Linked DNA regions of Saccharomyces cerevisiae S288C. The gene in region 1 interacts genetically with each later gene. Each region holds a gene or a part of one and is shown on either strand. Other genes may lie near its edges.

Evidence for each region.
Region 2: mutations in YND1 (region 1) and YNR071C together harm fitness more than expected from each alone (negative genetic interaction), as found in Saccharomyces cerevisiae (2 studies listed by BioGRID).
Region 3: mutations in YND1 (region 1) and YPQ2 together harm fitness more than expected from each alone (negative genetic interaction), as found in Saccharomyces cerevisiae (2 studies listed by BioGRID).

The regions. Positions count from the first base shown.
Region 1 is NC_001137.3:156,055-165,452, reverse strand, and holds YND1 (apyrase), read right to left. Parts: upstream 4,904-9,398; coding exon 3,011-4,903; downstream 1-3,010. Other genes in the region: PAC2 (Pac2p), read right to left, coding at 1-926; RNA-binding GTPase NUG1, read right to left, coding at 1,168-2,730; FMP52 (Fmp52p), read right to left, coding at 5,178-5,873; mannose-6-phosphate isomerase PMI40, read left to right, coding at 6,335-6,365, 6,459-7,717; NOP16 (Nop16p), read right to left, coding at 7,955-8,650. UniProt on the Saccharomyces cerevisiae protein: Catalyzes the hydrolysis of phosphoanhydride bonds of nucleoside tri- and di-phosphates. Has equal high activity toward ADP/ATP, GDP/GTP, and UDP/UTP and approximately 50% less toward CDP/CTP and thiamine pyrophosphate. Has no activity toward GMP.
Region 2 is NC_001146.8:767,646-774,412, reverse strand, and holds YNR071C (aldose 1-epimerase superfamily protein), read left to right. Parts: upstream 1-2,944; coding exon 2,945-3,973; downstream 3,974-6,767. Other genes in the region: hexose transporter HXT17, read right to left, coding at 62-1,756; ATP-binding cassette multidrug transporter PDR18, read right to left, coding at 5,037-6,767.
Region 3 is NC_001136.10:1,179,245-1,185,548, reverse strand, and holds YPQ2 (Ypq2p), read right to left. Parts: upstream 3,749-6,304; coding exon 2,795-3,748; downstream 1-2,794. Other genes in the region: TRP4 (anthranilate phosphoribosyltransferase), read right to left, coding at 1-802; thioredoxin-disulfide reductase TRR1, read right to left, coding at 1,291-2,250; SBE2 (Sbe2p), read right to left, coding at 4,289-6,304. UniProt on the Saccharomyces cerevisiae protein: Amino acid transporter that moves arginine across the vacuolar membrane. Active during nitrogen starvation when it exports stored vacuolar arginine to the cytosol, for use as a nitrogen source.

The sequences.
Region 1 (9,398 bases):
AATTTGTTATCTGTTATATCCAAGGATTCAACAGAATAAATAGCAATACTTGGTGCTCTAGAAATTTGATTATTGGAGACATTTAAACCTTTCAATGTCAAATTTTTTGGAAACAATGGAAACGATATAAGATTATTTCCGCTAATATTCAGTTCCTCCAAAGTACACGGTATTTCATTCTCAAAATTTTGGATTCCCGCACTGGTCAAGTTGTTATAGCTTAAATCCAACATTTTCAGTGTCCTGAAGCTTTTGAGCAGCTTACCAATATGTTTATAACTTAAACCACAGGAAGACAGACGTAAAGTTTTGATGTGTGATAGGTCATATTCTTTCAAGTTGTCCCAACCGCTTAAAAGTTTATTTTGAGATATATTAAGGCTCTCCAAGTTCTTCAAAGGTTCTATGAACTCACATAAAGAGTTGATATTCGTGAATAGATTAAGCGATAAATCAAGGTCCTTGACGTTCACACAATTTTGTATTACACGGTTTAACTCATCTTGATTTTGAAACAATATAGCGACATCGGAATCTCGCAAAGCTATTTTTCTTAACTTCTTATAATTCTTATTTCTCGCATTTAGTTCATCGAATCCCAAACCCTCAACCCTTTTGTTACCTATAGATAGGTCATTAATGTTATTACTCGAGCCTCCATACTTTTCTGACAATGCTTCGTAAAACGTAATTCTGCGTACACCTGGAGATTTAATCTTAGACTCCTTCAAAAATGATCCTGAATTAGGAATTTGAACGTCAAAATAGTGTATGTCATCTATTGTTCCAGAATGTTTTCCCCGGCTGTGATCGTCCCATTCCACCCCATAAGCTTTTACCGAAGGCCACGGCTTAATAACACCTATGAATTTGATGGTGCAAAAATATCCACCAATCTTGAGTCTGTCCCCAATTTCATAAGTCATGCTATCTCTGAAATTCGTTTTGCATTTTATATTTTGTATATCTTATATATGAAACATAATAAAAGTTGGAACTTTTTAATGATTTCTTTGTCCAAAGAGCAAAAAGGCAGTAAAACTAAAAAAAATAAGATGTATAGTAATGAGTTTAAAAGCACACCTATAATTTACAGTAATGTTATTTGATGATAAAGAAAAAATAAGAAACACCCCTTACATAAAAATAGCCTTACATATGACTTATTTATTCCATCATTGTATCTTGATCTTTGCTAGCATCTATGGCCTTGTCAAGAGAGCTAAATAATCCATCCAAATCAAATTCTTTGGACCACTCGGATACAATGGTGGATTCATTTGCTGCAATTGGAGCTTGTTTAGTGCCAGTGTTTATAGTACTTAGATTTTGTTTATCTTGTTGAGATGCAGCTGCCGATGTATTTGGTAAAACCCAACCAAGAATTTTACCATCCCTCCAGTCATTAAGTACCGAAAGACCAGCACTGGCAAGATTTGGAATACCGCCTTTCCCTAATCTACCTCTTTTACGAGCGACGTGAATTAAGAAATGTTTTGTAAACGTATCTGCATCATTAGCAGGAATAGGAGGAATTTCATACAGCTTTTTAAAGCTCTCTGTCATTTCATCTGATTTAGCTAGTCTCTTTACCAACATTAAGACAGCTGGATACGGATCAACAATGTGTTTTGCCGGTAGAGCATTTAGAAGAGCTAATTCAGCTTCATGTTCAACTTTCGATCTTTTCTTATTTTCGCTTGGGAAACATATACCAGGAGAATCTAGAATCTTCAACTTGTTGTCGATTTTGATCTCTCTCAGAGAGGTAGTAACACCTGCTTCATTACCGACTGGGCAAGCCTTTGATTGACCTCCACGGCGCGCCAAAAGAGCGTTGATAACAGATGATTTACCAACATTTGGATAACCGATAACACCCACTACAATAGATCTCTTCAAATTGCTGTTATTAGAGTAAGTTTTCAGCGACTCTAGCAGTGCACTTGCAGTAGTGGTTTGGCTTAGCTTTCTGTTGAAAGAAGTTCCGTTGACTGCACCAGAAGAAGCTCTTAATGGGATTGTAGGAAAACTAGACTTTAAGTAATTTAACCATTGTTCCAATACATGTGGGGGAATTAAATCAACTTTGTTCAGTATTAAAATCAGCCTTTTACCCTGACTTTGTAAGACGGCTTCTTCCACCTTTCTTGATCTTGTACTCTCTGGATCTCTGGCATCCAAAACATATAGGATGACATCAGAAGCATCAATAACGGATTTGAAAATCTTGTCATAAGCTTTCCTAGATTTTTCAAGTTCTGACTCGCCTTCTACATCTTCACCGTAGAAATCAATGTTATAATCAATGACGTCCAATTCATCATCACGAACATCTGCATCATTAGAGGGTGTGCCCTCATATTCAGCAGCTGCTTGCTGAGCAGACTCAACCAAAGCTGCTAATCCATTTTCATCGTCTTCTATCATGTCTTCATCCATTGCATCAACGCCTTGTTCCTTGGCAGCTTTCCTAGCCTCCAATCGTTGTTGTTTGGCAAGCTCTCTTTCCTCTAAGTCCTTCATTTTTTTGGCTTCTATTTCTTCTAAGATCTTAGCCTTATAAGGAAAGTTAGAAGGAATACCAGGGTCTTTCTTAGACCTTGATCTCCAAGTAACGTCCTTCTTAGCCATCTTCTTTTCCTTTTTTCTATGGGCAGAAGCCTTCTTCTTAATACCTTCCTTCAACTTGGTAGATGTTCTTCTAGATTGGCGCTTTCTGACTCTCATTTTATGATATTATAGTCGTGACTGTATACCTATATGCTTGTTCTTGTGTGTACCAAAGTATTACTAGTACAATTCCCTCTTGATATAATTAGCTCATCTCATCGCCTCGCTCGAAAATTTTCAGCAGCTGTGAGAAAAAAATTTCAAAAAAAAAACAGAAGCGACGTTTAGAGTGACGTGAATCACTGTTAATGCAATACTATGGCACCTCACTAGATATATACATATATTTATGTGAGAAGTATATGCGCTTCTATTTATGGCACATACACCACCACATTCAATCATATAGCCTACTGTCCTTAAATTTGGAAAAATCAGCCATAGAAAACGCAGGTCGTAAGTTTGACGGAGCGAGATTAGCGGACTGACTTGCTGTCCTTTGTGGTTCGTGCTCCCTTTGCATTGTGGCTGAACTCTTACCAAGATCAAACATACTGCTACTCTTCATCCTGTACACATCTTTGAAGCCATCTACGTCTGTTCCAAGTTCACCTTCCTCCAATCTGGAAAATGGATCTGATCTCCTTAGAAATTTCAACCTTCTCCTTATGCCTGTCTTAAAGTCCTTGGTAATGTTGTACAGACCGGAAAAACGTCTTCTGATTATGTGTGACCTATGAAAGATCAAGTAAAATATGCAACAAATAATTGCGAACCACATCAAAAATCCTTTATTAGAAAGGCTGGAACTTTGCTTGCGTAGTTGATCAGACTCCAGTAACTTGCCAGGTATGAATTTCTTACCAGTGAGCTTAGTTCTTCTTTCACTGGGCGCAATACCCACCATGAAGTCATCATTACCTGCCAATATGCTACCTGAGGCATAAAGTAAAATTCTGCCTAGTGTCCACGATAACTCTCGTTCTTCGACTTTTTCCACACTTTGAAATAAGGGCCTGTCATTGACATTTTCTGCGTCGACATCTATTCGAGGCATATCAAACCCTTCATGAAGTATATTAAGGACCCAATTGCCCTTAAAGCATGCATCTTTCAAAAAATTCTCCGGAATAGAATTATACACGCCTTTATCACTGTTCGCTAATATTTGCGTCCAATTGGAATTGCAAAACTCCCTTAGGCTTTTGCTAAATTTGTCAAAGTTGTATTCGCCCCCAAGTTTGAATACGTCGTTGGCAGTGTACCAGTACTCAGAAGTACCTATAAATTTGTCATTGGCAAAGTCTATTCGAGGAGCATGAACACCATTAAACAAGCACGGCTCGTCATCACAAGGCATGTTCTTTAAAAGTAACGGATAAATAGATTTTGTACATTGTTCGTAATTCCCAGAACCCGCGATGTGAAATATGGTATCTTTAAATTCAAAATCCGTGCTGCTTCCTCGCGGCATACATGGATCATTCAAGTTCCTTGTAGAGAAGTCATCATTTTCGTAATCATTTGTGTTTTCTGGAAGGGTATTGATCAACTGAGCCAAGTACCTTCTTCTAGCCTGATTGGCACCAAACCCTAACCACGTACTAACAAAAACGTCCCATTTCTGCAAATCTCCGTTAACACTCCTCAAGAAGATGGTGGCGATGTCATCTCTATGTCTAGCTATTTCTCCTGAATCATGCGGTGCAAACGCAATCTGAGTAGAGGCACCGCCCATGTCCATAAACCCAAATGTAAAATGGTCAGAGACCTCTGGATTATAGTCATTAAAGTGTCCATATAGATAGTTTAAGCCAAGCCAGCCATATAAACCTTCGGTTTCACCATCAATGACTTGAATTTGTGCTGAGCAATCCTCAACCAAAAATTCTGCAGGGTGTTTGAGCCCCTGACACAAACCATCCAAAATGGAAGATTGTATGTCTTGAGGTAAAAGGCGCATGCCCGCGGTTGCTTGAATAAAAACGGGACAACTCGACCAATGTGATTCAGGGATAATATTCTTAGCAAAATCTAGTAACGGCTTGATGTGAGATTTGTACGCATCTTGAGGTTTTTTTTCAAAACTCGACAAGCCTGGATTCAGCTTAAAAGTCCAGTCTTTTTCTTGATGAATATGAGGTACTGATTGTAATATGGACTGTGAGTCCTGGTTTGTTGCATGAAGAAGCGATTCCGTGTCCTGCCACTTAAACACATGGATTCTCGAACCCGAAGACCCTGCATCTATGACGATACCAAACCGATCATTAGTGTTTTCTATGAGCATAAGAGGGCAGACGGGGAAATAAAAAAAGCCACGTTAGATATAGTATTTTACTTTATACAGCTAAAACGCAAATACGATATATACGAACGAAATAACATGACGATAAATCTCTGTTTATCATCGTTTCTTTAAAGAAAATAATGAGGCGAAAAAGTAAAAAAAGCTATGATTGTGTGAAGTTGTTGAAAATCCGTAATTCATTGAACCCGTACGCGCGCAAAAGTACGTCACAGTAAAATACAACTGTAGCTGCGAGAAGAAGCCGTTGGTTGATTTAGGTAGCAATCTTCTCCAGAGAAGCTGAGATGTCAAGAATGTCCTTGCTGGAGACAAACTGAACCTTGTCTTTCCCAGAAGTATTCAACGCCAAATGAACACCAACTTTTCCTACCTCATCGCCATAAACTGGATAGCCTAGCAACCTCTGGAATCTAGAACGGTACACGCGAGTGCCCAAAGCAGCAGTCAGATTGCCGCCAAATCCGCTTTGTTTAGAATTTGTCCGTTCACCAAGGAGAGGGCCTGGGCGCAAAATTATAATGTGCTTAAAATCAAGAGCGATAACATCGCGTTCAATCTCGCCCTTCATCTTCATGTAGCCGAACCTGGAGTCCGGATGAGCACCAGCGGAAGAAACGAGAACGATCGTTTCACATCCTTTTTCCTTGGCAGCCTGGGCCAATTGTAAGTTTAAATCATGATCGATCTTGTATTGCTTGTCCAAACCGCCTGCAGCTGCCCTTGTCGTTGCCAGTGCGGTGAATAGCACCTGCGGATTCATTTCATTGGTGATCAATTGTGACCACTTTGAATTATCCCTTTCTACTATGGCCACAACTTTATCAGTGGCCGGAAAGGGCAATTCCCTTCTCAAGATCGCGTATACCTTAGAGAACTGGGGTGCCTCCTGTGCGTGCCTCAGAAACCCGCCTCCGCATAAACCTGTAGCGCCTAATACCAACCCATTCATCGTTGCTTGTGCTCTTCTATATAATCCATCCTATCTTTCTCATCAGTAGGAGGTCGATCTTATGCAAAGTTCGCCACCAACAGCTGCAGTTACATCATATCGCGGAAACTCCGCACTGGCATCGTGCCGCGCGACAAGCGCAAGGATGAGAATCATGAAAACCTTGCTACAACAAGATGCCAATAAAGTCGTTCCCTGATATAGCTAGTACTTTGCGGGAGTAATTTGTTATTCTGCTTTCTTTTGCACTTTGATCATGCCAAGTCTCGTGGTGCACTATCCATTTCGTGCTGCTTGGTTATTGTAGCAATTTTTTGTCGCGTCCGTGTCCTTTTTCGCCGCGATTTACGTATTTAAATATACACGTCGCAATCTTAGTATATTTCTGTATAAAATGTTTGTTTCTTGTAATCATTCAACACTAAACACGTAAAGAACATCAGACCAGAAAATTTTAAAACATGTCCAACAAGCTGTTCAGGTTAGATGCAGGTATGTGCCATTTTTCGTCAAATATTTTGAATACTTTGAGTATTTTTTTTTTTTTTTTTTGGTACACTAACTAACGCGTACGACTCTATGTAGGCTACCAACAATACGACTGGGGTAAAATCGGCTCTTCTTCAGCTGTCGCTCAATTTGCTGCCCATTCTGACCCCTCTGTTCAAATTGAACAAGATAAACCATATGCAGAGTTATGGATGGGTACCCACAGCAAGATGCCTTCCTACAACCATGAGTCTAAGGAATCCCTGAGAGATATCATCTCCAAGAACCCCTCTGCCATGTTAGGTAAGGACATTATTGATAAGTTCCACGCCACAAATGAATTGCCCTTCCTTTTCAAAGTTTTGTCCATTGAAAAAGTCTTGTCTATTCAAGCACATCCCGACAAAGCCTTGGGTAAAATATTGCACGCTCAAGATCCTAAGAACTATCCTGATGATAATCACAAACCTGAAATGGCCATCGCTGTGACTGACTTTGAAGGTTTCTGCGGGTTCAAACCTTTGCAAGAGATTGCAGATGAATTGAAACGTATTCCTGAATTACGCAACATTGTTGGTGAAGAAACTTCCAGGAATTTTATTGAGAACATTCAACCTTCTGCTCAGAAAGGTTCCCCAGAAGATGAGCAAAACAAAAAGCTATTGCAAGCTGTTTTCAGCAGGGTCATGAACGCTTCGGATGACAAAATCAAGATTCAAGCTCGCTCCTTGGTCGAAAGATCAAAGAATTCTCCATCAGACTTTAACAAACCTGATTTACCAGAATTAATTCAAAGACTGAATAAACAGTTCCCTGATGACGTGGGTTTGTTTTGTGGATGTTTATTGTTGAATCACTGCAGATTGAATGCTGGTGAAGCCATCTTTTTAAGAGCTAAGGATCCTCACGCCTATATAAGCGGTGATATTATGGAATGTATGGCTGCTTCTGACAACGTAGTTAGAGCAGGCTTCACTCCAAAATTCAAGGATGTTAAAAACTTGGTCTCCATGTTAACCTATACATATGATCCTGTGGAAAAGCAAAAAATGCAGCCTTTAAAGTTCGACAGGTCCTCTGGTAACGGTAAGTCAGTTTTATATAACCCTCCAATCGAAGAATTTGCTGTATTGGAGACTACTTTTGATGAGAAACTTGGTCAAAGGCATTTTGAAGGTGTTGATGGTCCAAGTATCTTAATCACTACAAAAGGTAATGGTTACATTAAAGCAGATGGCCAAAAATTGAAAGCTGAACCCGGTTTTGTCTTTTTCATCGCTCCACATTTGCCTGTTGATTTGGAAGCTGAAGATGAGGCGTTTACTACCTATAGAGCCTTTGTGGAACCAAATTAGCTTTCTTTCTATTTCTTAATTTTCTTATATCTATAATAGAGAAAATATTATACTTATTTATTTGAAGTCTACTTTATTTCACAGTTTTCTATTTGCTTCTCACGTTCTATAATATAGTGGAATGGAAATATCAAACATAATTTGCTGTTCTCTAAAACACTTGATATTGATGCATAAAAACATATATAGATACATATATAAATATTACGTGGTAATCAATTGGTAGTTGCCATTGGTTTATTTTGATGCAATACCGTTTCTTTTTTTCCACCTTAATAACCTTCTTTTCAAGTCACCCTCAGATTGCTGGTAGATGTTCAGCTTCTTATCGAAAAACATTTTTTTATAATCATCACCGTGTTTCTTATATAATTTTTCCAACCATTCTTCTTCCCTTTCACTTTGGCTACGTTCCTTTCTGATAACTGGTCTAGACGCAAGTTCTTCTAATTTCTTAACCACTTCGGTCTCCTCGGTAGTATCCCTAGCTTTTATTTCGTTAACATCCTCATCAGCATCAAAGTTCTTTTTCTTACCGTAAACAACTCTTACAACATCACCATTCTTATCACGCTGTATCCTTGCCCCACCTTCTGGTATCTCATTTTCATCGAGCTCCACGGTAGCCGCATTATAATCATTTTGCTCGTCCTCACCTTCATCTTCATCTTCATCTTCATCCAACACAGGCTTCGTTAATGGAATTCTTTTAACTACTTTACTTAAATCGGCCTCTTTGCCTCCTGCTGGTGTTTGTAATTTAGCCCTTAGCCCTAATTTCTTATAGTTTTGTGCCATTGTCAGTGAATAGTCCCAATTTGCTGCAATAATCGGATTAGACTGGATGTTAATCTTTCTTTGTTTGTCTTTGTTTCTCCTGGTTGCTTTCCCAACAGAAGATCTGTTCATCTTTCTTTTTCTAACGGATGTCATTGTATGCAACTTTTTTTACTTAGTGTATTTGCAGTTTGATATTAAACTCAATATCTTGAACTCTGCTTTTTTGAGAATTGACGACTGTTATAAATTTATCTCATCGCCTATTTTTCTTTTTATTCCATTCTGAAAAAAAGTGTCGATAAAAAAAAATTTACATAAAAGTGTTCTGTTCGGGTAACGTTTAAACCAATAAAATAACAAATAGAATTTTACCCAGCACGCTATTGAATATAAAGTAGAGCTAATCAAGCCGCTTATCTCAAATATATGGCTTGGTTTCTTTTATAGATTTGAGTAAATAGTACCCTTTGTAGCGGTAACTGTTGCTTTTTCAATCATTGGAAGCAATACAACATATAGTATAATGCTTGTTTTATTGTCCCTTAGTATTGAACGCATACAATGGTCATAATGCGAGTATGTGCACTAGTTAAATATGAAAAGAAATTACCCAAAAGATTACTGCACAGTTATTTACACTAGAAAGTAATATCAGGTAAACATTACGATTATAATTAGTACCTATTATCACAGGTACTTAAGCGGCCTTTTTATGCTGTTGGAAGCCCAATAGTTTTATCTAAGATAAAAGCTTTCAATGACTCTTTGACGTAGACTTTCTGAATAAGAGAAATATAAAACTTGCCTGAAAAAAAAGAATAAAAAATAAAAGAAAAAGAAAACCTTCACCAGATTCTCAACAATTATTAAGTTAATTTGATTATTAAAAGAGTAAAAAAAA
Region 2 (6,767 bases), on another chromosome or scaffold:
ATTATTATGTAAAATATAATATACAATGTTGCCTATCAAGACAAGCATATGCACTCTATGATCAATCAGAACCCTTTGAGAACTTCAAAAATTTCTTCCAATCCTTCTTCTCGGTCTTACTTTCTTCGGAAGGAATACCTCTCCTAGAAGGTGGGACCCAAGATGCAGATTTCCATGGTTTTATACCTTCTTCATATAGTAATTGGATTTCCTCCAAAGATAGACCAATCGTTTCTGGTAAAAAGAAGAAAACGTACAGAAACATTGCAACCAAACAACCTACGAACACATAACCATAATAGAAGTGGATAGACCCAGTAATGAATGGTGTGAAAAACCCGATCAAAAATTGCCACAACCAGTTGCATGCAGTCGAAATCGACATGGCCCTAGATTTGACCTTCGAAGGGAACGACTCGGCAACCACAATATAAGCAACAGGAGCCCATGTCGTTGCAAAGCAAAATATATAGAAGCAAGTGAACACAATCATGGCATTACCTGCACCTTTTGAGGATGGACCATCCTGGCCATGAGGGTAAAGACATTTCACCCCGATACTTGCAAATATGACCATACAAGCCATCATCCCAGCTGCACCAAATAAAAGACATTTACGACGGCCAATTTTGTCTACGACCATAACAGCAATAATAGTGGAAAAGAAGTTCACTGTACCTAGAACGATCGACGTCTCAAACCCATCAGTAAGACCGACTGATTTGAAAATGGTAGTTCCGTAGAAGAAAAAGTAGTTTTCACCAGTAAGTTGCAAAAAGGTTTGCACAAGAATACCTGTGATCAAACGTTGAAGGACTTTAGTTTTGACGGAGAAAAGTTCTTTCCATGAAGCTTCTCCTAGTTCTCTTTGGGCAAGGACACCGGCGTTGATTTCATCAGCCTGTTTGAGTACCCATGGATCCTCTGGTGAAACCTTGTTGATTTTGGCAATGGAAGCACGGGCCTCTTCGTGTCTCTCACATTCAATAAGATATCTTGGGGACTCTGGAACCAATAACATACCAATGATGATAATCAAAGTCCATAAAAAGCAAAGCCCAAGTGGGACTCTCCATTGTGCAGTGTTATCGTATTTTCTCGTACCATAAACGCTACAATAACCCAAGAAAATACCGAAGGTCATGTTAAGTTGGTACAATGAGACAAGTCCACCTCTCAAATCTGTAGGAGCTATTTCAGACAAAAGCATTGGACACAACACCGAACAGCCACCAGCACCAAGACCATAGATAATCTTACCAACGAAGTATTGGTACCATTTGTGATTCGAACTGATCTGAATAATTGCACCAACCATATATACCAACACCACGATTACAATTGCCAGCCTTCTACCTAAAGTATCAGCAAGACGGGCAAAAATAAGACCACCTATGGCACATCCAATACTGAACATAGCCACAAGAAGACCCATACGCACGTTGCTCAAATAATATTCACCAGTGCTATGCTTGTAAGAACCGAAGTTCATTTTAAAGTTGTCCATGTTAATGAAACCTGCTGTGATACCACTATCCCAACCAGGCAGGAAACCCCCGAAGGATATTGGATAACACAATAAGTAAATGACAAGATAACCTATGAGCCCTCTTTTTGGTGGCTCAACGTTATCCCCGTTTATGACTTCGTTGTCATCAAATCCATCTGACCACTCTTTTTCCACGGGTGGTGCGACGTGAATATCAGCATCAGGACCATCCTGAATATCTCTATCACTTTCAGTGGATGATTGCATTTTATTAATTTTTCTTTTCTTTTCTTTTTTTTTTTTTTTTTTTTGATTTATCAAATGAGAAAGAATTTACACAACACTTGCACAACGAAAGAAAAATATCACACCTAAACTTATCGCTTTATATATCTCGTTCACCATATTATCCTGTGATTAAGGAGGGTGTTATGGCAGCAATGCTATCCTACCACTTGAACGATAAAATTCTGTGCCAAGGAGGTTTCACCGTTCGTATACACTTATCTCAATTGATACTGCTTGCCGCCTTCTTTTGAATAGATTCCGTGCTATTTTGCCTGTTTTTAGACGAGGATACTAATATTATATTATCTAATATTATCCTCGAACGTTTACGTCATCATTTGGGATACTATTCCACATTCTAGGTTGCTAACGGTCTTTGCACAGTCAAGTCATCCCACGCATTTGTGCCTATGTGCCTATATGTGCATTATTCTTAATACCCCGCCACTCTATGCACAAAAATGCATACCCCACCTCCACCTTCCTATTTTGTGCATTGACTATTTACTCCGAAACGAACCCTTGAAGTTAAAATAATTAAACTTTTTGGCTGCAAACCAGTGACGTCAGATATATTTTATAATAACCCCAGGGAGGCAAAAGCTTCTTTCTCGGCAAGGAATGAAGATGTGAAAAATTCGTCAAATAATAGCCGGGCTGGTTACAGCAAGGGGCGGACTTAAGAAATAAGAACGGAGATATAGAAAAAAACTCTAACGAAACATAATCACGCAATCCCATTGGAATAGTTTAGGATTCTTGAAAAAGAAAAGCCCCCCACAGTACGTCGTATTTCATTTACATCTGCAATACCCCCACTATAATTACTTCTGACAACATTTAGAATAAAGGTGTTGAAATTTTTTCTTTTCTTGTTTATTACGTTGCCACTGAATAGCCTACGAACCACAAGGAAGTGAACAGGAGCCTTTGGCAGCTTAGCTCATTGAGTGGTATGATGAAATAAACTTCCTACCCCGTGTTATTAAGATCAGTTAAAATATTGTGGGGGTGTCGTAATATGTAATAGACATGTGATACATTTTTATGTACACTCTATACTTTCAGCATATAAATACAGAGATAAGTTGAAGTTTGATAGCTCAATTGATCAGTTTGTATGATAAGCAGTGAAAAAAAAAATCAAAACAGATAACAAACAGCGAAATGTCAAATAGTAACGGTGATAATAAGTATGGTGTCATTACAATTGGTGATGAGAAAAAGTTCCAAGCTACCATTGCGCCACTTGGTGCAACTTTGGTAGACCTGAAGGTAAACGGCCAATCAGTCGTTCAAGGTTATTCAAACGTACAAGACTATTTAACAGATGGTAACATGATGGGCGCTACAGTTGGTCGTTATGCCAACCGTATCGCCAAGGGTGTTTTCAGCCTGGATGATGGTCCTCACAAGTTAACTGTTAACAATTGTGGTAACACAAATCACAGCAGTATCAGTTCCTTAAATCTTAAGCAGTACAAGGCGTCCCCTGTTGAGAATCCTTCCAAGGGCGTTTACGTTGTTGAATTTAAATTGTTGGATGATCACACACAGCCCAACCCTAACGAGTTTCCAGGTGACTTGGAAGTCACAGTGAAGTACACTTTGAATGTTGCAGAAATGACTTTAGACATGGAATACCAAGCACAGTTAGTTCGTGGTGATGCTACTCCAATTAATATGACCAACCACTCGTATTTTAACTTGAACAAAGTCAAGAGTGAGAAGTCCATTCGTGGTACAGAAGTTAAGGTCTGCTCGAACAAATCGCTTGAAGTTACAGAGGGGGCATTGCTTCCAACTGGTAAGATCATTGAAAGGAACATTGCTACTTTTGATTCAACTAAGCCCACCGTTTTGCATGAAGATACTCCGGTCTTTGATTGCACTTTCATTATTGACGCTAACAAGGATTTGAAGACTACAGATTCTGTGAGTGTCAACAAATTGGTTCCTGTTTTTAAGGCCTATCATCCCGAATCTCACATCAAATTTGAGGTTTCGACGACAGAACCAACCGTTCATTTGTACACCGGTGATAATTTATGTGGCAAATTTGTGCCAAGGTCTGGATTTGCCGTTCAGCAAGGTAGATACGTTGATGCTATCAACCGTGATGAGTGGAGAGGTTGTGTTCTTCTGAAGCGCGGCGAGGTATACACTTCAAAGACTCAGTACAAATTCGATATTTAGGTGAGGCTGAAGCTTTTTACGTTTGTTACGTTTCTTCACTTGCTTGTAGATAAAACCTTTATAATGATATATGATCTAGATTAAACTCAACGTTTGTACGTTTAAACCTAAAAGTTTTTGGACCTGTCCCAAAATAAATATTATCACAAGTGGTAGTACTAAATTGAGCGTAACAGGCGGACTCTGTAGGCTTTTTGTGAGTTTGGGGTCTGAATATTTTTTACTCTTAAAAAAGAATACAGAACTTACTAAAAAAAATCCGTACTAAAAAGGTAGAAACAAGAAATGGTTTATTTGAAAAAAATACTTTACGTCCCAGCCTCACTAAAATTGAGCAGGAAACCGTATATCAAAACTATCTACCAAGAGAGTTCTGGTAAAAACATTTATATGAATAAAGATTAAATTATGCCTATTTTTTTCCTAGCAGTACATTCACTATGTTTCTATATTTAACGCTTTGTCGTTATCCCGGATAAAATTCTTCAGGTTATTTGCAGACGTTTGTCACATTATTTTTTCATTGACAAAATTTCACGAACTCTAGTAATGTTCAAATTCAAATGTCATGCAAGGCCCCTATGAACATTATTACGCTGTTTAACCAGCGGATAATAATTAGATCGCGTTCGTCGTAAATATAAAACATACGCTCTGTAAGTAGGTCCCTCTGAACGTTGGCAATTTGACAGTGAACTAATGAGTCGTATTCATAAAGAAACATCAACTGTGTACCAAAATACTTATTTGGGATTATGTGTTTATAGCCTTGATTACCAATGTTTGCATAAATAGAAGTTACCCTATTTCTTTGAATAATATAACATTACATTTCTGCAATATTCACATCATCATATAACCCAAAATTCACAGTATCGTGTGCTAAATCGGTTAAAAAACCGCCTCACCTGCACCCATAGTATACCTGCAATTTTTTTCTTCATTTTCTCTTAAATTTACTTGTTATTCTTTTTACGAAGCCAATTTTCATAGGGGAAAAATGCTTAACTTGAACAACGTAATAAACCACAATCATACCGGCAATGTTGAAAAGGATATAAGCCTAAATGAAACCGAAGTTTCTCCATAAGTAACTAAAGCTAGCATTTATGCGCGCCAAGTATTCATCACCTACTTTGTACTGACAATAGGCGCAATCTGCTGTTGCATCTGGATTTGCAATATACCCAGTCCCAAATTCAAAAAACGGTTTGGTAAATTCACCACATGTTTGGCCTACCGGGGGGTTGAAAAGAGACAACTCTTTCTTTGAACATCTTACGGGTTTGTCATGCATCAATAATCCAACTAAATTTTGCAAAAAATACGTGTAAGGGGATAGTTTCCACATGAATGTCCAGAAACCAGGCATTAAAGAGGCAGGTTGGACAGCACCGCAGAAAGAGAGCAAAAACGAAAGTATAAAACCTACAATAACATTGGCAGATTGTAGATTTGGAGACATGTACAGAATCATTAAAGCAAGACCAATATAGTAAAGTTGAAAAAGTATGGCATAGTTCAGATAAAAAACACTTGACCTAGAGGCTTCGGTAAAGACACCCAGAGGGAAATATGATGAAACGAAAAAAATTGTTGAAAACAATAAATGGTAAGGCAATTCATTTAAATAATGGGTAATCAAAAGTAAAGACCAATGAAACATATTAGATTTGGACTCACGAACTTCATATAGCTCCTTAGCAACGGTAGCACGCTCCTGTATTTGGTTTGTTGCAGGAGCTGATATAACGATAGCCATGAAACAGGCAAATAAGCTATTTTGTAATCCAATAGCATTTACACCCACATGGAAAAAGGTAAAACCAATGAACAAGCCACTGATCATCAATAACATCATTTTGGCCATGATGTAGTTCAAGTTTCTCCAAAATGTTAAACTGGATCTTTTCAGCACATGATGGAATTGGTAGGAATACGATGTTGCATACTTAGAGGCCCTTGTAGCTGTTTTATGCAAAGTTGTAGAAGATAAGTCCTTAATCATGTCATTTATTTTTTCGTTAATGTTTGCATACTCGTGAGATTTTTGCCATATATCAGGCCAGTTCTGTTGAACAGAAGCGGTGGCCCCAGCTCCTATGGCTTCTAAAATATACTCTGCCGGATTTTCATTTTGTTGACATTTCCTGGCTCCGTTCTTTTCGAAATACTTAATGACAGAACTTGAATTTTTACCTATTTCACCAAAATAAATTGTTTGACCGCCTTTTCCCAAAAGCAATAATCTGTCAAACTGTTCAAAAAGAGTAGCTGATGGTTGATGAATAGTACATAAAATTGATTGACCTGCTAGAGCTAATCTTTTTAACATTTTGACGACGGCCCACGCGGATTGGGAATCCAAGCCAGAGGTCGGTTCGTCCAAAAACAATAACAGATCCGGCTTGCCAACTAGCTCAACGCCAATTGATAGTTTCTTTCTCTGTTCAACATTCAAGCCGTAACCAATTTCGCCGACAAGAGCTTCTGAGAACTCCTGCATTTCAAGAATAGATATAATTTTTTCAACATATTCCATCTTTTCAGCGTCAGGAATAGACTGTGGCCGACGCATACGAGCACTAAATTGTAGCGATTCTTTGACAGTAAGTTCAGCAACATGAAGATCTTGCTGTTGAACATAACCGGTACGCCTTTTGAAACTAGCGTCCATTGGGAGACCATCAACTAACATATCACCAGTAATCGTTCCCACGTTCCTTTGAGCCAAAGTGTTTAATAATGTGGTCTTACCAGCGCCGGACTCACCTATTAATGCTGTCAAAGTACC
Region 3 (6,304 bases), on another chromosome or scaffold:
CAGTAGTTTTGCCTATAGGTGATACTTCGTCTAACCCAACATGTCCCCAAACTATAAAAGTTTCGCTTCCTGGATATACCAAAGCGGCTGCCTTGGCATATTCAGGCGCAAGTTCCTTTGAGTAAACGCCCAATATTCTCTTGTTTACGTGGCTAACTGGATGTAGAAGTGGTCCCAGTACGTTGAAAACAGTCGGAATTCCAAGAAATTTGCGTATCTTAGAAACGTGGCCCATTCCATGATGAAAAAAAGGAGCAAGTAGAAACATGAACGTATTATCAGGCCAAAGTTTGGGCACTGTCGATGAATTAACCTTGAACATGTCACAGCCTAAAGTTCCAATTAGGTCACCAGCTCCACTATTGGATGTAGAAGCTTTACCACCGTGCTTACAAATTTTTAGGCCCTGAATTCCGGAGGCAACGATAGCAGCAGACGTGGAAACATTAAAAGTATTCTGTCCGTCACCACCAGTACCTACAATATCTAAGATTACTGGTCCATCTTCCGGGTGTAATTCGTCCTTCTTGGGTAAAGGTAGATCAACAAGGTCGGAATGTCTGAGCACAGCCTTTGCAGCTTCCGCAATGTATTCAGCCTTGTGATCAAGTTTAGTAACTCTCAAGGCCGTGAGAAAACTCGAAACTTTGGTATAGATGGAAAGACTCTCATCGCTATTTGTATCACATTTTTGCAAAAGACTTAATATAACCAGCAACGCATCGTGTAGGTCTGTGCTACTCAATTGCGGCGGAGAAGCCAATAATTTCTTGGTGTAAGATAGCAAAGTCGCCTCGGACATGATAAGGGAATACTAAGTTTTCTTGTGATTATTGCAGTTTAAATTCACTTAGTTGTCAGTAGCTGTAATATCAGATGCTTTATTATAAAGTTTTCCAGAAGAATGAATGCAACAGAGTTTATGTTTACTGAATTGTCTGGTCATGAATCATTTTTTAGAGAGTCAATCTGCGTAGGTTTTTTTTTCCTTTTGGCAAAGACGACAAGAAAAATGCAGGTGGGGAAGCGCAGCAATAATATTAGTCATAACTTAATAGTCGGTGTATAGGCAACCACGCGTTACAAAGTAAGCCGATGGCCTATGTCATGTGTCTAAAAAGTTTAATTCAGACACGCAATATATGTAGATTATGTATTGGCTTTCTCTAATAATGGGGAAAAGAAATAAAATTCATGGTTTGCTTTTTATTAAAGAAAAGGAGAAAGTAACGATTTGTTGGATAAGTATACAAAAATTTGAGTGTATCTATTTTATAATGGAAAATTCATCTATTCTAGGGAAGTTAAGTATTTCTCAGCATCCAAAGCGGCCATACAACCAGAGCCAGCAGAAGTAATAGCTTGTCTGTATTTAGAATCCTGAACATCACCAGCAGCGAAAAATCCTGGAACGGAGGTTAATGAGCTGCCTGGGACAGTTTTAATGTAGCCCGCTTCATCAGTGTCGACTTGGCCAGCGACAATCTTTGTTGCTGGAGTGTGGCCAATTGCATAAAATAAACCGCTGACTGGCAAATCGGTTTCTTCATTCTTTTTAGTGTTCTTAATCCTCAAGGCATTCAATAATTTACCATCCCCCTTAGCTTCTAGCGCAACAGTGTTGTAAAGGATTTCAATTTTTTCGTTCTTCTCAGCACGCTTTTGCATAATGGTAGAAGCACGCAAATGGTCTTTTCTGACAAGCATAAACACTTTTGAGCCGTACTTGGTCAAGAACTGAGCTTCTTCACATGCAGAGTCACCACCACCAATGACGGCCAATGGCTTGTTTCTGAAAATGGGGACGGCACCATCACACACGGCACAGGCAGAAATACCTTTTTGCCAGTAGGTTTCCTCGCCCGGCAAATGCATTCTCTTAGCAGAAGCGCCTGTGGCCAAGATTATAGCGTCAGTCGTCACAGGTTCTGCGTCTTCGTTAAATTCGGTCCATAGCTTGAATGGTTTGGAAGACAGATCAACTTTGGAAACTGTTTCCGTGATAATTTCAGTGCCAAACTTCGTGGATTGTTCTCTCATTCTGTCCATCAGTTCGCTACCTGTTAGACCATCTGGGAAACCTGGGAAGTTTTCGATTTCTGTAGTGGTGGTTAGCTGGCCACCGGCAGCAATACCGTTCGCCATCATACCTTCATATAGGATTGGCTTGATTTCTGCCCTGGCCAAATAGATGGCGGCGGTGTGTGCAGCTGGACCTGAACCAATGATAGTAACTTTGTTGTGAACCATTATTGATAATATGATGTTTACTTTCGTACTGTTCGCTATTTGCTGTATAGCACTTGTAGGCAAGTATAACTGAACTACAGAAATTAATCTACAAGCTCTTGAAACCTCGAGCAGTTGGGTCCACTCTTATACGCGTGGGCATTTTTTCCTTTTTCGAGATACTTGCGGGCGATTTTTTTTCTCCATGACTAAGGAGAAGCTAACCCAGCCAAAACCCGCCCCCAAATGGCTAGGCAAAGTGAAAGATTATTAATCCAGAACAGAATGAAACACTTACTGCCGTACTGTATACTGAAGCGTTCACAGTGAATACATAATAACTTTCATTATTAATATTAGTGTGACAAACTATATGTGTTTGTAGCTGTTGCGAATGCAAACAAGACATAGACGGTTTTACGTAAAACTGGCGCTAACTATAGTTGGGTACTTTTACACAGAGTACGAACGTAGTATTCCTATTGGGAAAAAAGGGTCTCGCAAGGACTATCCCAAGAGCAGAGTGCATTGTTTAAATATAAATGGTAGTACTCCGTAGGGAAAACTATGTTTGCGTTTCACCAGACAACAGTGATGTACGTTCTGTCACTAGTTGCGCTGCACTGTCTTCTTCAGGACTGTATAGTTCTCTTTCCAGTTCACGTAGTTGCATATCAGTTGCATAAAGGATATAGTATTGGTAGAAGTATATCAAATCAAACGCAATTGTTCCAGCACTTCCAAATATAAAGGGCAACTCATTCACGATGAATTCCCTCTTGTTCTGATTATCTAAAAATCTACAGCTTGTGAAGATGCTCAAATTATACGTGATATTGCAGAGTAGTGTAGTAGCAAATAGGAAGGGAGATAAGCCGTCTGTAGACTTTCTATTGTAATTCTTGATTAGTTGTGGGATACGTGCGCCTACGTAGAAGGAAGCGCCAATCCAAGATAAAATTGTACCCAGCTGGCTGTTTTTACCATCTCCGGGAGGCCCCACTTGTGATTGGGTGGAGCCTACATTTAGCGGATATGCGCTAGCTGTACTTATAGTATGAGCTATAGCCAAGGCTGCTGTAATGGCAGACCTTCTTCTACTGCTTCTAGGGCTTTCTGCACTGCTACCACCTTGTATCATGTCCTCTTCCTCCCTCAAAAGCTCACCATTTTCAACCAGTTCGGGAAGAAGAGGTTTAGGCTCATGGCCGACAGTCGCCAATTTATTTTCATGCAGCACGCCATAGTAATAATATTGACCACATACAAAAGAATCATTCAATAGAAAATAAATTGCTAAAAGTATCTGAAATAACAATTGCCCTGTTAGCTTTGCCCCTATCAGCGAGGTAATATCCCCACATAACCAAGCCAGCAAAAAATATGGCGATAGCCCATCGACAGATTTATCTCGATAAGTCTCAATTATTTGTGGAAACAATGAAATAACAGAGGTGAAGAAGGATAATGATCCGCACAAATTAGATACAGTAGGCCAGATGCCGTTTGAGCACGACATGAAAAGATTCTTATTTTCACTTTATAATTTTTAGCACCGATAACAACGAACCTTATCGATTGATATCAATAGATACTGGCTTAAGGTAATGAAAAGATTGCTTCTTTATTTGTCTTTGTTGGAGACGAATATTAATGCCTGCAAAAAGTACTTGACGTTTATGTGCACGTTTACGTTTGTTTTTTTTTGATCCCTCCTCAAGCGAAGAGATATACTAAAAGATATACTTAGTGATAACACTGGTACCTATTGTCACTACAAATCACTGAGCGAAATCTTTTTTCTTCGCGAACAATTTCTTCCATGCTGCGAAATTTTGCAGCACGTAAGTGAATGCCGTAGAAGCTAGCAAAAAAAAATGGTGATGAAAAGGTTAATAACAAAACACAATAAGGGCATTAGTTCATTGTTTATTAAAAATATATTATTATATTAATCGAAAGTAATTTCTGTATGTATGCATTTATAAGTTTCAGAGTGAAAATGAACTTAAGAAGAGATAGTCTGGTCACCAAACTTTTAGTACGTGCCACATACACGCTAACGTAATTTTCGGTAGTAGTGCAACCACCACTTTGTGAAAATATTATTGAGGTTTTCCTCTTCGATACTATCCTCCGTATACAGTGGAATACAAAAATGCTTATCATCCAAATCTGATAAATGTTTCAGATTATCATATCCGAAGTGGTAGTTTAACAATACGTTAACTGTTAGTGAAACCAAAATCTTATAATTTACAATAACCTTCTTAGATCTATAGTATTCCCATACTTTGTCTTTGAATATTTCCATTTTTACGGGGTAGTTTGCAAAGTTTTGGCCATTATGAACGATAATTACATCCATTACCCACATAAAAAGTTTATGGTCCATTCTTTGCAATATGTTCCACCATGTATTGCTATTCAAACATCCGCCATTGAATTCATTTTTGAACTCATCTTTTCGTAAAAGATGGGCAACAATTCCTCTGGGATTTAATATTCTTGAATCGTATTTTTCCTTGCAAATTTCACTGAAGCACGTCATCTGTATCAAGTTGACCATTTCCCATGTTTCCTTCAAAGTCCCAAAAGATTGATCAGTTAAAAAATGGTAGAATAGCATCTCATCACCAGTAACCAAACCTTGTTGAGATATAGATTTCAGTTGCAGTAATAGCATCAAGTCAGAAACCACTTGCTTATCTGTTCCATTTTTATAAAAAACCTTTTCCTGTACATCGTGTTCAATAAGCTGTCTTATTTCAAATTCTTTATCTTTGGGAAAATCCATTTTGTTGAGTAGCTGCATTACTTCCTCAAATGATTCAATAAAACATTTTGTTATCAAGCAATTGTCACTTTGTAGAAGTTGACTATATATTTGAAGCCGTACTTTAGATATCAAAGGTGTTTCCCAAATAATTTTCTTTAATTCACTTAATGACGAGTTACGAGTAATGCCTCGGTCCAGTAAATGCTGGAATTTGACCTTATTCTGCTCATTCTTTTTGGCTTTTTCGTCACGTTCTTTATTTTTTTGCAACTCTTCCATTGATGCTAAGTCGATATTTTTGTAGATTTGTTTATCTTGCAATTTCCTCTCTTTGAAATCCTTGGGCGGGAGCCAACTCGGACGGAAATGACTTACGGCCTTTAGTTTGTCCTCTGAAACTAGCATTAGGTCTTCCATTCCCTGACTACTGGCTTCTTTAAATTCCAGTGGTAAACTCTGTACAGATCTTGAACGACCAGAAAGAATACTTTTGGAGATTTTTTCGGAACTATGCAGGTATATTTGGGAGAGATTTTTCATTGTATCCTGGATGTACTGTGAATCAGACACAGGAGATATACCAGGAATGCATGTTGGCGGAAGCTCCTTATAGTCCAGACATGATTCTTTTAAAGTGTTACTTGAATTTGATGTATGTTTTCTAGTACTATGAACCTGATGGAAAGTTTTGTCCACACAGAGAGCCGAAGATGAGTGTTGTTTGCCTTCGCAATTGTTCTCCTGTATTAATATCTCTTCATCCCCCCGCGCTGAATCTAAACTCATTTCTTTTCTATTAAACTTAGATAATGTTAAAAAAGAACTGGTCGATAAAGATGCCATTGGAATGTTCCAAATTAACGAGCCGTCGACATCGCCCTCTTGAAGTTCCAAGTTAACGTCTTGATCTTCATAAAATTTTTCTTTCATTTTTATGGCTTTACGCAAAGATTGGTCATTTTGCTCTTTCCTTAAACGGTAACGTTGAGAAGGAGTAAGTTGGGTTGTTTTATATGGTAATATTACAGAAGTACTATTGGAATGCACATACGGCGTTTTTGTGATCGGCATGAGTTTTGGTTCTTGGATAGTTGCGGTACTCATGCAATGATGTTTAAGAGGAGAGTCATTCTCGCTTATGAATGAAGTTTGTGATGCGGCTATACTGTTGGTTGTATTGCTCGATCCAGGCAGCCCTACTGTCCTGGAGAGTTTAGGAGTTGACACCGAATTTTGACGAGATGGAATGCATGTAGTTATGGTACTCATTGAGCAGATTGTTTTATCAGCGCTACT